Linked DNA regions of Sus scrofa. The protein of the gene in region 1 interacts with the protein of each later gene in a biochemical or structural test. Links are inferred from orthologs where the notes say so. Each region holds a gene or a part of one and is shown on either strand. Other genes may lie near its edges.

Region 1 (4,003 bases):
TACACACCAGCCACCATCAAGCTGGGGGGCAGGACCTGGGGGCGGCAGCAAGTCAGGTCCCTCTTCACACAGCCCTGTCCCTACCACCTACCACCACAGTCAGGACTAGGACACACAAATTCATTAAACTCCATCACGCCTGCCGGCTGCTAATACAAAGACCCTGCGAGGCAGCCCTATCTCCAGCATAACTGGAATGAGATTAAGTGAGATTCAAGGTCACCCAGGCCAGGGAAATTCTGGCCTCTCTTCCACACACTCCAGACTCCGCAGTGAATCCTCTTCCCACACCCCAGCGCCCCAGCCACAGCCCAGAATCCCTGCCAGGTTGCACCCCTTCGTGACATCTGCCCTCCCTTTCCCCGGCACGAGTTACAGGTGGCCGCAGCATCTCACCATATACAGCAAGAAAGGAAAGGTGAGCAGGAAGATCCAGACATAGAGATGGAAGCAGTTGGAGAAGGTGCTCTGGTGTGGGTCGAAGAACCAACCGCCGGTGAGCGAGGCCCACACCCCCTGGCGCAGGATCTGCAACACCTGCGACCCCATGGCCCCGCCGCTGCTGCGCGCGCCCCCCTCCCGGGACCCTCATGGGGGCGGCCCCCGGCCCATGCCCCGCCTGGCGCCCGAGGGCCCCGGGGCCCAACCTCGCGCTCACGCCATGGCCTCCCCCAGCGGGGGAGAGGGGTCGGTGGGGCGAGGGTGCGGGCAGGGGGCGGGGCCGGCCAGGGCAGTCAGTGGTGCGAGACCCAAGAGCCGGGGTGGAGCCGCATCAGGGGTGGGGTCCAGGCCCCCACCCCCGGCCCAGAACTGCTCCTAAGGGCCGGACCGGCGGGCAGGCGCAGGGCACGGGCCGGGCACCGGTCGGCGGCATCCAGAGGTGGGCGTGGGGTGGGTGCTCCGGGGGTGCAGACGACGGCTCCCACGGTTCCGGCCCGGGGAGAGCCCCGGGACCCTGAGGTCCACTTCCGGGGTCACAGGTCACTCGCTTTGGGCTCCGCGGTCGCCCCGCTTCTGCGGGAGCCGACCCAAGGGGGAGGCCGGAAGAAGGAGCCGCGAGCCGCCAACCTGCAGTGGCGCATGCGCCCGACGAGACCAGTTGGGACCCGGAAAAGGAAAACCTTTCGGCTCGAATGCGCAAGCGCAGGGAGGTGGTGGACCGATAAGAAGCGGGAGAGCCCGCTGGGCTTGCGCAGCTGAGGAAGGGACGATCCAAAAGGCACAAGTCCTTGAGCGCATGCGCACACCTAAGCGATGCCAACCTAGCCGCGATCACTGGGCGGAACGCGAGGGAAGAGTTACTAGAGGCGAGGAAAAGGATGGAGGCGTGGACACCCCTGGGGGCTAAAGCCACAGTTGTGCGCTACTGGAGCAAGCCCCTCTAGGTGCGCCCTTTTTAGCGCTGGACGTCAAACGTCACGAGCGGCCTCTACTTCCGGGTCAGAGCTCAAACTCAGAGTGTAGAGAGAACAGGCAGGACTAGTCGAAATAGGATAGTGTCGTTTTTCTTAAAGTGACAGGCTCAAGGCAAGGGGGTCCGTCGCGCGGTTGCGAGAGCGATTTAGCTATTCCAAGTGCCATCACTGGACAAATTTCAGGAGCACAGTCTCAGGTTTCCATCCCTTCTTGGGAAAGAGGCATGAATTGTTTCCCAGGTGAAGGGAAGCAGTAAATCTTAGACAACGCGTTCCAAGAGCTCCAAGTGCAGCCAGTTTCGTCCTCCATTCTTGCCTACCCCCACTGCCAGCTCTGCAAAGCGGAGCTCCTGGCCCCAGTTTCAGACATGAAGAGAATGAAGCGCAGAGAAAGGGTCACACGGCCCTGCAACTTCGGAGCCAAGACCACACTCGGGTTTGCCCCTCTTCCAAGCCAGGATCTTTCCCCCAGTTTTACAGATGCAGACGTAGAGGGCGGGGACGGTCCCTCCTTAGCAGAAACCAACCTCGACCTTAAACCTGTTGTCACGGGAGGTGGGGGCTACGGGCTACACTTCCTCTCCTTCTGCCTCTCATTGCCCGCCTACCCGGTAACTCCCAGACCAAATCGCCCTGCAGCCTCTGGGAGGGGAGCGGTGCTACCCGCCCGCGTCATCTGATGCTGTTTCCTGCAGGAGAGAGAACAGCGGAAAAAAGTGAAACTCCACCCTCCACCTCTGCCTCCCGCCCCCGGGGCCAAAGTACAAAGGGAGGAGGAAGAAGGGAACGGGGTTGGAGCCATCGGGTCGCGAGAGCTGAGCCAGGAAGAGGCAGCTCAACCTAGAGACACTCCAGCCACCCCCCTGCGCAGAGACCCAACGGGAGTCCAGGCACTGCCCCTCGCTGGCCCCACCTTTCACTTGGCGGGTGCTGGAGCTCGGCTCCCAGGACTGCTCTGGACTGAGGGACGCCCGGGCCCCTCTGTGCCGGCCATGGTGAGACATCGGAGGCCCTGGGGGTCCACCCCCCCAGCCTGACCACACTGCTTCCCTAGGTCGCCCTCCTCCGGAAGCCCGAGATGCGGTGGGCCGGGAGGCGACACTCCTGGCTCCCCAGAGAGGCGTGGGTCTGGGGCTGAGGGCCAGGGCTCGGATGCCCAGGTTCCGGGACTAGGGCCTCGGCCGTCAGCAAGGGTGGGGACCGGGGCACCCAGGGAAGGTCCCCCACACCCGCCAGTGCCAGCTCCCAGCTATGGAGCCCTTGAAGAACCTCTTCCTCAAGAGCCCCCTGGGGTCATGGAACAGCAGTGGCAATGGGGGCAGCGGGGGCAGTGGCAGCGGAGGTTGGCCAGAGGGGTCCCCGAAGGCTGCAGCTTATGCCAACCCTGTGTGGACAGCCCTGTTTGACTACGAGCCCAATGGGCAGGACGAGTTGGCCCTGCGGAAGGGCGACCGAGTGGAGGTGCTGTCCCGGGATGCAGCTATCTCGGGTGACGAGGGCTGGTGGGCGGGCCAGGTAGGTGGCCAGGTGGGCATCTTTCCGTCCAACTATGTGTCTCGGGGCGGTGGTCCCCCCCCCTGCGAGATGGCCAGCTTCCAGGAGCTGCGGCTGGAGGAGGTGATTGGCATCGGTGGCTTCGGCAAGGTCTACCGTGGCAGCTGGCGGGGTGAGCTTGTGGCCGTGAAGGCAGCTCGCCAGGACCCCGATGAGGACATCAGCGTGACAGCTGAGAGCGTGCGACAGGAGGCTCGGCTTTTCGCCATGCTGGCACACCCCAACATCATTGCCCTCAAGGCCGTGTGCCTGGAGGAGCCCAACCTGTGCCTGGTGATGGAGTATGCTGCCGGTGGGCCCCTGAGCCGTGCCCTGGCTGGGCGGCGCGTGCCCCCCCATGTGCTCGTCAACTGGGCTGTGCAGATTGCCCGTGGAATGCACTACCTGCACTGCGAGGCCCTGGTGCCTGTCATCCACCGAGACCTCAAGTCCAACAACAGTGAGTTCGGGGGAGCGTGGCCGGAGGGTGGCATGGCCCAAGCAGACAGCTGCTGCCGGCTCTTAGCTGAGCCGACCCAGGGGTTTCCTAGAAGTGGCAGCTCCTGCCCAGGATTGTCTCAGGTCCCTGGGGGGACCCGTAGGCTCACATCAGTGCCAAAGCAGGAACCCCAGGCACCCAACAGAGCCCCAGCAGGAGTCCCTAACCCCAGCTCACAGCTGCCAAGTTAAAAAATGGGAATCTCGGAGTTCTTGGCGGCTCAGTGGATCAGGGATCTGGCATTGCCAGGGCTATGTCTCTGGCGACAGCCGTGGCCCGGGTTCGATCCCTGGCCTGGGAACTTCCACACACCACGGTCTCTCGGGCGGACCATAAGCAACCTGCCTACCATACATGGCCACTAGCTCAGGGGAGGCGAGTCCTGGGCGCTGGCACCCCTCATCTTCAGGGAACTCTCTTGAGGTTCACATGCACCCACAGTAAAGGGGCAGCTTCTCCAGAAGAGAAATCTCAAAGGGGCAAGCCCCCCCACTGTGGCCAAAACTGGGGCCAGGGATGGAATTCTGGCCCCACTCCTACCCCTGGCTGCACCATC
Region 2 (4,213 bases), about 9.9 Mb from region 1:
CAGCGTGACTCTCTGGCAGGGGGCACTGTTCTCCGTAGTCTGGGAGCGCAGCACCCAGTTCTATCCTGCATTAGATGACAAACCATGAAGGCGATACTGAGCACCTACTTGGTGCAAACCAAAGCTTAGCTGTTGACTCCTTGTGCCTTCTGGAAGTTGACAGTGGTGCCCAGGGCACGCACATGTGCACACGCGTAATAATAATAATAAACAGTCCTGAGTGAACGCAGCTCTGCTGGCCCTGGAAACAGTCAACCTGTGTTGTCTCATCCACGTCTTAGGACCACCCTGAGCAGGGGCCAAAGTCGGCCTCATGGAGAAGAAGAAACATAGGCTCAGGGGGTGAAGCACCCACTCCTGGGGCATGCAGCTAAGAAGGCCGAGGCAGGACTTGAGCCCGGGCCAGTGCCGCAGGAGAGCAGTCCCCCCCGCCCAACCCCTGGTGGGGGGAGAAGCCTGCTGGGCTAAGAGCTATGAGAGGCGGGACACAGAAAGGGCAGCGGGGGCTGCTGGAGCAGGCAGGGTGGGCCCTGAGAGGCTGAAGACATTGCTCTTATTATTCCCACGTGTGGGCCACATGTCCACGGCCAGGCCACGGCGTCCTGCAGGGCCTGCCCTCGCCTCAGCCTTGGTCTACTGCCACCCTCGCCCACTGGGTCCCGGGCTGGACAGGCTCACTGGCAGGCCTGCCTGGTCAGCATTTCTCACTAAGGATTCCAGGGGTGGGACAGAAAGTGCTGTCACTTGGGGATGGGGAAGCAGCCAGGGGGAGGCCAAACTGTCCCCTGGGCCAGAGGCAGGGCCTGGAGGTAGAGTGGACTGAACAGGCAGACCCGGGTTCTAGTGCAGCCTCAGACCCTGACTCTCTGGGGGTTCTCAGGCAAGCCATCTGCCTTCCTGCCTCAGTCTCCTCTTCCACACAATGGGCCAGGCCAGGGGTGGTTGTGAGCCAGCACAGAGACGATGCTTTGAGCAGTAAGGAGCCATCTAAACATCCGCTGGTTTGGAGGGCGGACACTTGTTGAGCACCGACTTGATGCACATTAAGGAATCAATATTAATTAGCTCACGTAACAGATGGGACTGAGAAAAGACAAAAAGCTGCCCAGGCCATACAGCGAGAAGATGGTGGGGCTAGGATTTGAACCCAGGTCCATCTAAACTGGCTGCCATGGTCTCCCACTGCAGAGGGGCCTCCTGGAAGGAAGGCCAGCGTTTGCGTGGAGTCGGCACGTGACGTGTCAGGTGGTGTCAGGCTCAGACGTCAGCCCTGTTACTCTGAGGCACTAACCACAAGGCCCCCAGCCCTCGAGGCTTCAGGCTTGGCCTCCTCCATCTGGTCCCCTCCCTCTGGTCTTTCTGCATTCAGCTCAGGGCCTTGGGGGAGATTTCTAGTCCTGATGATGCCATTAGAGATCCCCAGGGGTCCCTGCCCACCTGAGGGCCAGGGAGCCAGCAACCTCTTGGTCAGAAGAGGCGTTGGCGCCAGAGCCCAGCTGGGGCCTGGCTGGGGTGGGGGCCCCAGGAGAGGGGAAGGCACCAGCTCATTAGGTGGAGAAACAATGGGGAATGTCTAGGCCTCTTTCTCAGAGGCTCTGGAGCTGTAACATCCTCTTCTCCAACCGGCCAGGACGGGTGGGGTGGGGGAGGGAAGAGGGACGTTCATCCCTCCCCCTCCCCAACACCCACTGCCACTTCTCTGAAAGCCACCTCCCAGGTGCCTAACACCAGATAGGGGGCAGGGAGAGGGGTGCTGAGGGGCTCAGATCAGGGTCCTGGGTACTTACCCCAGCAGGGACCCCTCCCCCTCAATATCCCGGCTACTCCTAGGCGCTCCAAACCAGACCCCCTCTCCCACAGCCGCGCCTAAGATCTCTCGGTTGAGGCTAAGGCTTCCGCACGTGCACACATCTGACTAGGTCAGTGCTTGTCCAAATCCACAGAGGGTCCTAGCCATGCCAGGCCTGGGAGATGCGCCCCTTGGGCCCGGAAGGGCTGGAGGAAGGGCCTACGACTCCCTCCTTCCAGCACCAAGGTTGTCGGTCGACCCAAGAAACTGGGATCCACGGGGGCACCCCTGCCTGCTCCCACCTCGATTCAGAAGGCTTCTGACTGGGCAGAGGCAAAGCCCCAAGCAGCCTGCCTCCTCGGGGATCTCAACGCAGATCCCAGGCCCCGCCGCAGCCCCAAAGTCGGGGAGAAGGAGGCCTCCGCGCCCCCTCCTCCAATTCCAGCTCAGACTCTCCTTGCCTAGGACACGGAATGGCGGAAGGAGCCGCACCATGGTCATGCAGCGGCCATCAGTGTGGACTTGGGCTGAGGGGGCTTCTGGGGGATCCGTCTCGGATAGAGACCCCATCCCCACGCCGCCCTCTCGTTCTGGGGTCTGGTGTGTGTGTTGGGGGAGAGGGGAGAACCGGGGCAGATCAATCCGGGCTGAAGGGCGGGACGCGGCGGCCGGGGATTCTCACCTGAAATTGGGCGGCGACGCGATGTGCAGCCCCAGGAACGGGGAGGCGGCAGGCGGGGACGCGGCCCCCCCGCCCAGGCCGCCGCTCTCTCGCTCCGCCATTCTCCCGCACAGCCCTGGCCATCCGGGCGGAGCGCGGCGCGGAGGCGGGGGCGAAGGCGGCGGCGGCGGCGGCGGCGGCGGCGGGGAAGGAAGCGGAACCGCGACGAGAGGCCGCCGCCGCGGGGCTGAGGCTGGAGCCGGCGCGGTAGGCGCACCTGCTCAGGGCAGGGCGCGGCTCGGGACCGCGTTCCGCTCTCTGGGCTGGCGCGCGCGCGCGCGCGCCCCCGGGCTCTCGCCGGGGTCCCTGCGCCCCGCCCCCTGCCCGCCCCCTCCCGCTAGCCCCGCCCTCCGGTGCTCTCCAAGGTGCTGAAGTCGCGGCCCCCAGGCTTGGCCCGGCCCAGCCCCGCCCTAAATCCTCCACTAACGCCTTGGTCTACTTCCCCTTCCGGCGAAGCCCTTTGCCTGCATGGGCTCTGCCTCTTGGGGTGGGCATAGGGCACAAGTATTGGGTAACTAATGGCGGGACATTGGTGCCTAGGGTCCTAGTTGACCCCCTGGCTGCAGACACAGAAGGTAGTCAAGGAAGAGGGTCGCGGAGGACGGCAGAGAGAGGCAAGTGGGTGTTGGGAGCTGGCTCCTAGAGCAGACTTGGAGTCAGGTGGTGTGAAGTCACAGCCTGGCTCTCCAAGTGAATAGACGGTGTGGCCTTGCATTATTAACAGTGGTCCTAAGCTCTGGTTTTTCTCATTTGTGAAATGGGGACAATGATGGTCCCTCTTTCGGTCCTGAGGATGAAGTGTAATACAAATATGCTGTCACTGGAGACTGGGAATGCTCACCTCCTGCTGGGATCCAGCTCTCACCCAAACCTGTCCCCTGAACTTGAGGGGACTCTTCCTCCCAAAGACTCTCCCCAGAGGGTCTCCTCTCCAAAGATTGACTCAAGTCCCCCTTCAGCCCCCAAACACCTCTAGGGGTGAACTGAACCCTTTCTTTTGGCTTCTGCCTCTCAACTTCTCCTCCCTCATATCAGGATTTTCCTGATTTCTCCCTCTTCTCCCTTAGCACCTCAACTGCACTTCCTGCAGAGCACCCCCTCTTGTGCACCCTGACACCCCGTAGCAGGCTTCTCACATTCTAAGACTTAGGACCTTCCCTCCTGTCTCCATGATTGACTTCTTGGGATTTTTTGGGTGGCTTTTCTGCTCCCTCCAGGACCTCTGCCCCTGCTAAGTTTGGGCTGTGGTTCCTCCTGGTCGTCTCTCCCCTCAGAGGACTAAACCTGTGAGTTTTTCATGGAGCGTGGACTTCTGGATACTCCACTGCTGGCCACAGCTAGGCCCCCAGCCTTGGTGGCTCATAGAACCTCTGGCCAAAACCTGGCTTGTCTGGCCCCGCTGGGAGTACTCGGAGATCCTGTCCTGAAGGGGCAGAGCAAACTGTTCCACAGCTTGTGGAATCCTATTTGCAAATGTAGACTGCCCACTGTTTCTGCCACCCTTACCCTGCATTGTAGCACCCAGAACGGACTGCAGGCACCTGCTCTGCAGTAAACAACCCCCGAGCTCCAGCTCTGAGAACATCCCAATACCTAGAGCCTTGAAGAAGCCTCGAGAAGGGCTTGGATGCCTTTCTCCCTGCCCCTTTTCTATCTGGGCTCAGGCTTCTTTCATCAGACCTAAACAGTAACCACTTGCTAAG
Region 3 (3,331 bases), about 65 Mb from region 1:
CTGGTGACTTGGGGTAGGGGTGGGACATGGGAGAGGCAGGTGGGGAGAGGCTCCCACTTAACACTGAAGGGTGGGGGCGGGGGGACGGGTGGACACACACAAAACAGAAAATCAAGTTAAATAAAAAATAAACCCAGGCAGCTGGCCTTGGGCCTGCGCAGGCCCTGGGGCCAGCCACGCGACCTTCCCAGCCATCCACAAAGGCCCCCGGGGCTGGGCCTGGCCTGGCAAGGGAGAGCAGGGGCCAGGCCTGTTGGCCCCTCACCCTGCCCCCTCCCCTCACAAAAGGGACTGGAGAGAGAGAGAAGGTGGCCACCCCCCCCGGGGGGGGGGGCGGCGCAGGGGCAGAGAGAAGATGACTGCGAGTACTTTTTAAACATGCGGCATTTGTGACTATCCTAGTAGTAACTCGAGTCATGGGACAAATGGAGGGTCCAGTGATGCCTAGTCTAGATTGCTTCAGCTACAACCAGCGAGGTTCCTCACCTTTGGCGTTGGTTGGTTTTTATGGTTTTTTTTTTTTTTTTTTTTTTTTTTTGCTATTTTGTTTCGTTGTCCACTTGATTTGCATGCATCACCAACAAAAAGGAAACACACCCCCTCCCGCTCGCTCTGGCTGCTGCGCAGAACCCCGGGGATGCTGGGGCCCGGGGCCTCAGGGTGGGCTGGGGACTGGCCAGCTCTGGGTGAGTCGAGGGGCGCTCAGGGCCACTGCAAGGGCGTGACCACCTCCACACGCCCAGCCCTCGGCCTGCCCCACCTCTGTCCCTGTCACACATTCTCAAACCCATACATCCACTCCCTGCACCCTCAATCCCTGCCTCCCTGGGCCCCACGGACCCCACTCCTGTCACCCATTCCCTGTGCCGCCTCCCTGCCGCACCAGCACCTGTTGCCCTCCACCACGCCCCGCGCCTGCCTTCCCTGAAGGCCACCCTGTGTGGCCGAGGCCCTTTGGGCTCTCTCCACCCCTGAGGTCTTCGATTCACCCCACCAAGCTGTGGCCAGTCTCCAGCCCCAAGGGAGGAGCCCCCCCGGAGCCCACCTTTGGGACTAGTCTCTCCTGGGTGGTGGCCCAGGCCCCCATGGCTCGGCCCCCAGCCCCAGCCCCCGAGCCCCGACAGGCAGTCGGGGTTGGGGGGGGCTTCCACCACAAGCAGCTAAACATGACTTTGGTAAAAGTTTCTGAAGGTACCGACAAACCCCATTAAGAACAAGCTCTTCTCCGCCCCCCACCCCCCAAACACCCCACCAAGTACAATAAAATACAATAAACTCCAAAAAGGACCCCCTGAGATCAAAAAGAGAGAGAGAAAGAGACCAGCCCGGGCCCGGCTGCAGTCGCAGCGTCCACAGGAACGCCAGCCAACAGACTCATTGCTTGCCAGACACCTAAGCGGACCCAGGGTCTTGCCAGGGGTGGCAGAGCCCGGGCCTGGGCCAGGAGAGAAGCAGAGCCAGGGAGGGAGATGGGGAAAGCCAGAGAGGTAGAGGGAGGTGACAGAGAGGAAGGTGGGGCCGGGGTGCACGTGCATGGGGCGGCAGTGGGGACAGCGCAGTGAGTGCTGGAGGGTGCAGACGGGCGGCTCTCTCCTGGCCCCTGGGGCCGCCCCAGCCCAGAGGTTACAACTGAATAAATAGCGAGTCTGCTCGCGGCCTGCTGTCTTCCGTTCACAGTGTCTGTCGGGGTTCGGGGGGCGGGGGGGGGGGACGCGCACGGCCGGCTGACCCCGGGACGGGAAGTGCTGGGGCCTGACGGGCCCGTCTGTCCATGGCTGGTGGGCAGGGAGTCGGGGGTGGGTCGGCGCCCCCTACTTTCTGTCCTCAGCCCTCAGCGGCTGTCCAGGTCCCAGGGCTCCCCTGGCAGGCAGCTGGGTAACCCAGTGGGGAAGGGGGGCCTGTGGCCGCACCCTTGGCCCCCGGCAGGCTGGCCACCGCCACGTGGCTACCTGAAGAAGGGCAGGTGGTGCTGGCTCAGGACCCCGCTTGTCCGAGGCGACTCGGTCTTCGCCATGACATCCTTGAACCAGGATGCCACGTCCACCTCCAGCGCCTCGTAGCGCCTGATGAAACTGTGTTCCTGTGGGGCCCAAGGTGGGGGCTTAGGACAAGGGTGTCCAGCTGGGCAGGCAGTGGGGTGAGGGGCTCAGGATGGGGGCTGAGAGGGGCCCCAGATACTCACAAGTAGCTTATTATACTTTGGTCTCTTCCTGTGATCTTTAGTAAGGCTAGAAAGAGAGAGAGAAAAGGAAGTGAGAGTTGGGAGTCGGGTCTGGGTCTGCAAGATCTGTGGCAAGGAGCCGCCACTGCCCCCAGGCCCTGTGCTGACAGAGGATCCTGGGGTCTGCCCTCGGGCCCTCCGACTGTGACAGGCTCCTGCCTGCACTGAGACCCCCGCAGGAGAAGCGGCTGGGCACCCCCAAGGAAGGCTCCAACAAGGATGTCCTGCTCCCACAGTTCAGCTCACCAGTGTAGGACACTCAGACCCTGAACCCTGGGGCACCCTCTGCTTGTTCATAGCCCCCCACAGTGGAGCGCAAAGGCCACTCTGCCACATACCCACAGGGCCCGGTGTCCACTTAGGCTGAGTCCAAACCCAGCTCCCAGCTCCCAGGGCTCAGGCGCCAGCTCCTGCCTGCAGCCCCCAACCCCATCCGGGGCCCCCCCTCCCCTGCCCAGCAGCAGTGAGCACAGGGCCACCTCTGACCTCGCCCTGCTTCCTCACCAGTCTTTGACAAAGGACTGAAAGTCCCCCGAGAAGCCCATGTGACCGGGCAGGAGTGGGGGTTCTTCCTGCAGAACCTTAGTAAGAACCTCAAAATCCGTCTTGCAGTTCTTGTAGGGAAACTGTCCTGTCGCCAGCTCCACCTGAGAGAGAGATAGGCAGGGTTGGTCCGGCCGAGGACAGGGTTCTGCCATCCCTGCCGCCTGCGTCCAACCTCCAAGAAGACCCTAGCCCTGGCCTCCAAAGGCAGAGGCCCCCACTCACCAAGGAGATGCCCAAGCTCCACACGTCTGCCCGAATGTCGTAGTCAGGCTTGGTAGGGTCCGGGGGGTCGATGCGCTCGGGCTGCCGGTGGGAGGTGGGAGAGGGTGGATGGACCCATGGCTGGGGAAGGTGCATCGCCCACCCTTCACACCCGCCCACCGGGCCCTGCTGGGCCCCACTTACTGCCATGTAGGCTGCGCAGCCTGCGCTCCGCGTTTTGGCCTTGGAGTCGACGAGGCGGCCACTGATGCCGAAATCGCAGAGCTTGATCTGGCCCCGCTCATCCAGCAGGATGTTGGAGGGCTTGACATCGCGATGGATCACACCGTGCTTCTCCTTCAG

The links.
Region 2: the proteins of MAP3K11 (region 1) and MAPK8IP1 form a complex in vitro, tested with the Homo sapiens proteins (2 studies listed by BioGRID). The link is inferred for Sus scrofa from reciprocal best matches to the Homo sapiens genes MAP3K11 and MAPK8IP1.
Region 3: of the proteins of MAP3K11 (region 1) and MAP2K7, one has a biochemical effect on the other in vitro, tested with the Homo sapiens proteins (2 studies listed by BioGRID). The link is inferred for Sus scrofa from reciprocal best matches to the Homo sapiens genes MAP3K11 and MAP2K7.

What each region holds. Positions count from the first base shown.
Region 1 is NC_010444.4:6,638,866-6,642,868, forward strand, and holds the start of MAP3K11 (mitogen-activated protein kinase kinase kinase 11), read left to right. Parts: upstream 1-1,195; 5' UTR 1,196-1,385; intron 1,386-2,110; 5' UTR 2,111-2,666; coding exon 2,667-3,408; intron 3,409-4,003. Other genes in the region: PCNX3 (pecanex-like protein 3), read right to left, coding at 1-35, 397-549. UniProt on the Homo sapiens protein: Activates the JUN N-terminal pathway. Required for serum-stimulated cell proliferation and for mitogen and cytokine activation of MAPK14 (p38), MAPK3 (ERK) and MAPK8 (JNK1) through phosphorylation and activation of MAP2K4/MKK4 and MAP2K7/MKK7.
Region 2 is NC_010444.4:16,581,960-16,586,172, forward strand, and holds the start of MAPK8IP1 (C-Jun-amino-terminal kinase-interacting protein 1), read right to left. Parts: upstream 2,805-4,213; 5' UTR 2,573-2,804; coding exon 2,472-2,572; intron 1-2,471. UniProt on the Homo sapiens protein: The JNK-interacting protein (JIP) group of scaffold proteins selectively mediates JNK signaling by aggregating specific components of the MAPK cascade to form a functional JNK signaling module. Required for JNK activation in response to excitotoxic stress.
Region 3 is NC_010444.4:71,298,509-71,301,839, forward strand, and holds the end of MAP2K7 (dual specificity mitogen-activated protein kinase kinase 7), read right to left. Parts: coding exon 2,990-3,331; intron 2,869-2,989; coding exon 2,726-2,868; intron 2,229-2,725; coding exon 2,183-2,228; intron 2,081-2,182; coding exon 1,946-2,080; 3' UTR 502-1,945; downstream 1-501. UniProt on the Homo sapiens protein: Dual specificity protein kinase which acts as an essential component of the MAP kinase signal transduction pathway. Essential component of the stress-activated protein kinase/c-Jun N-terminal kinase (SAP/JNK) signaling pathway.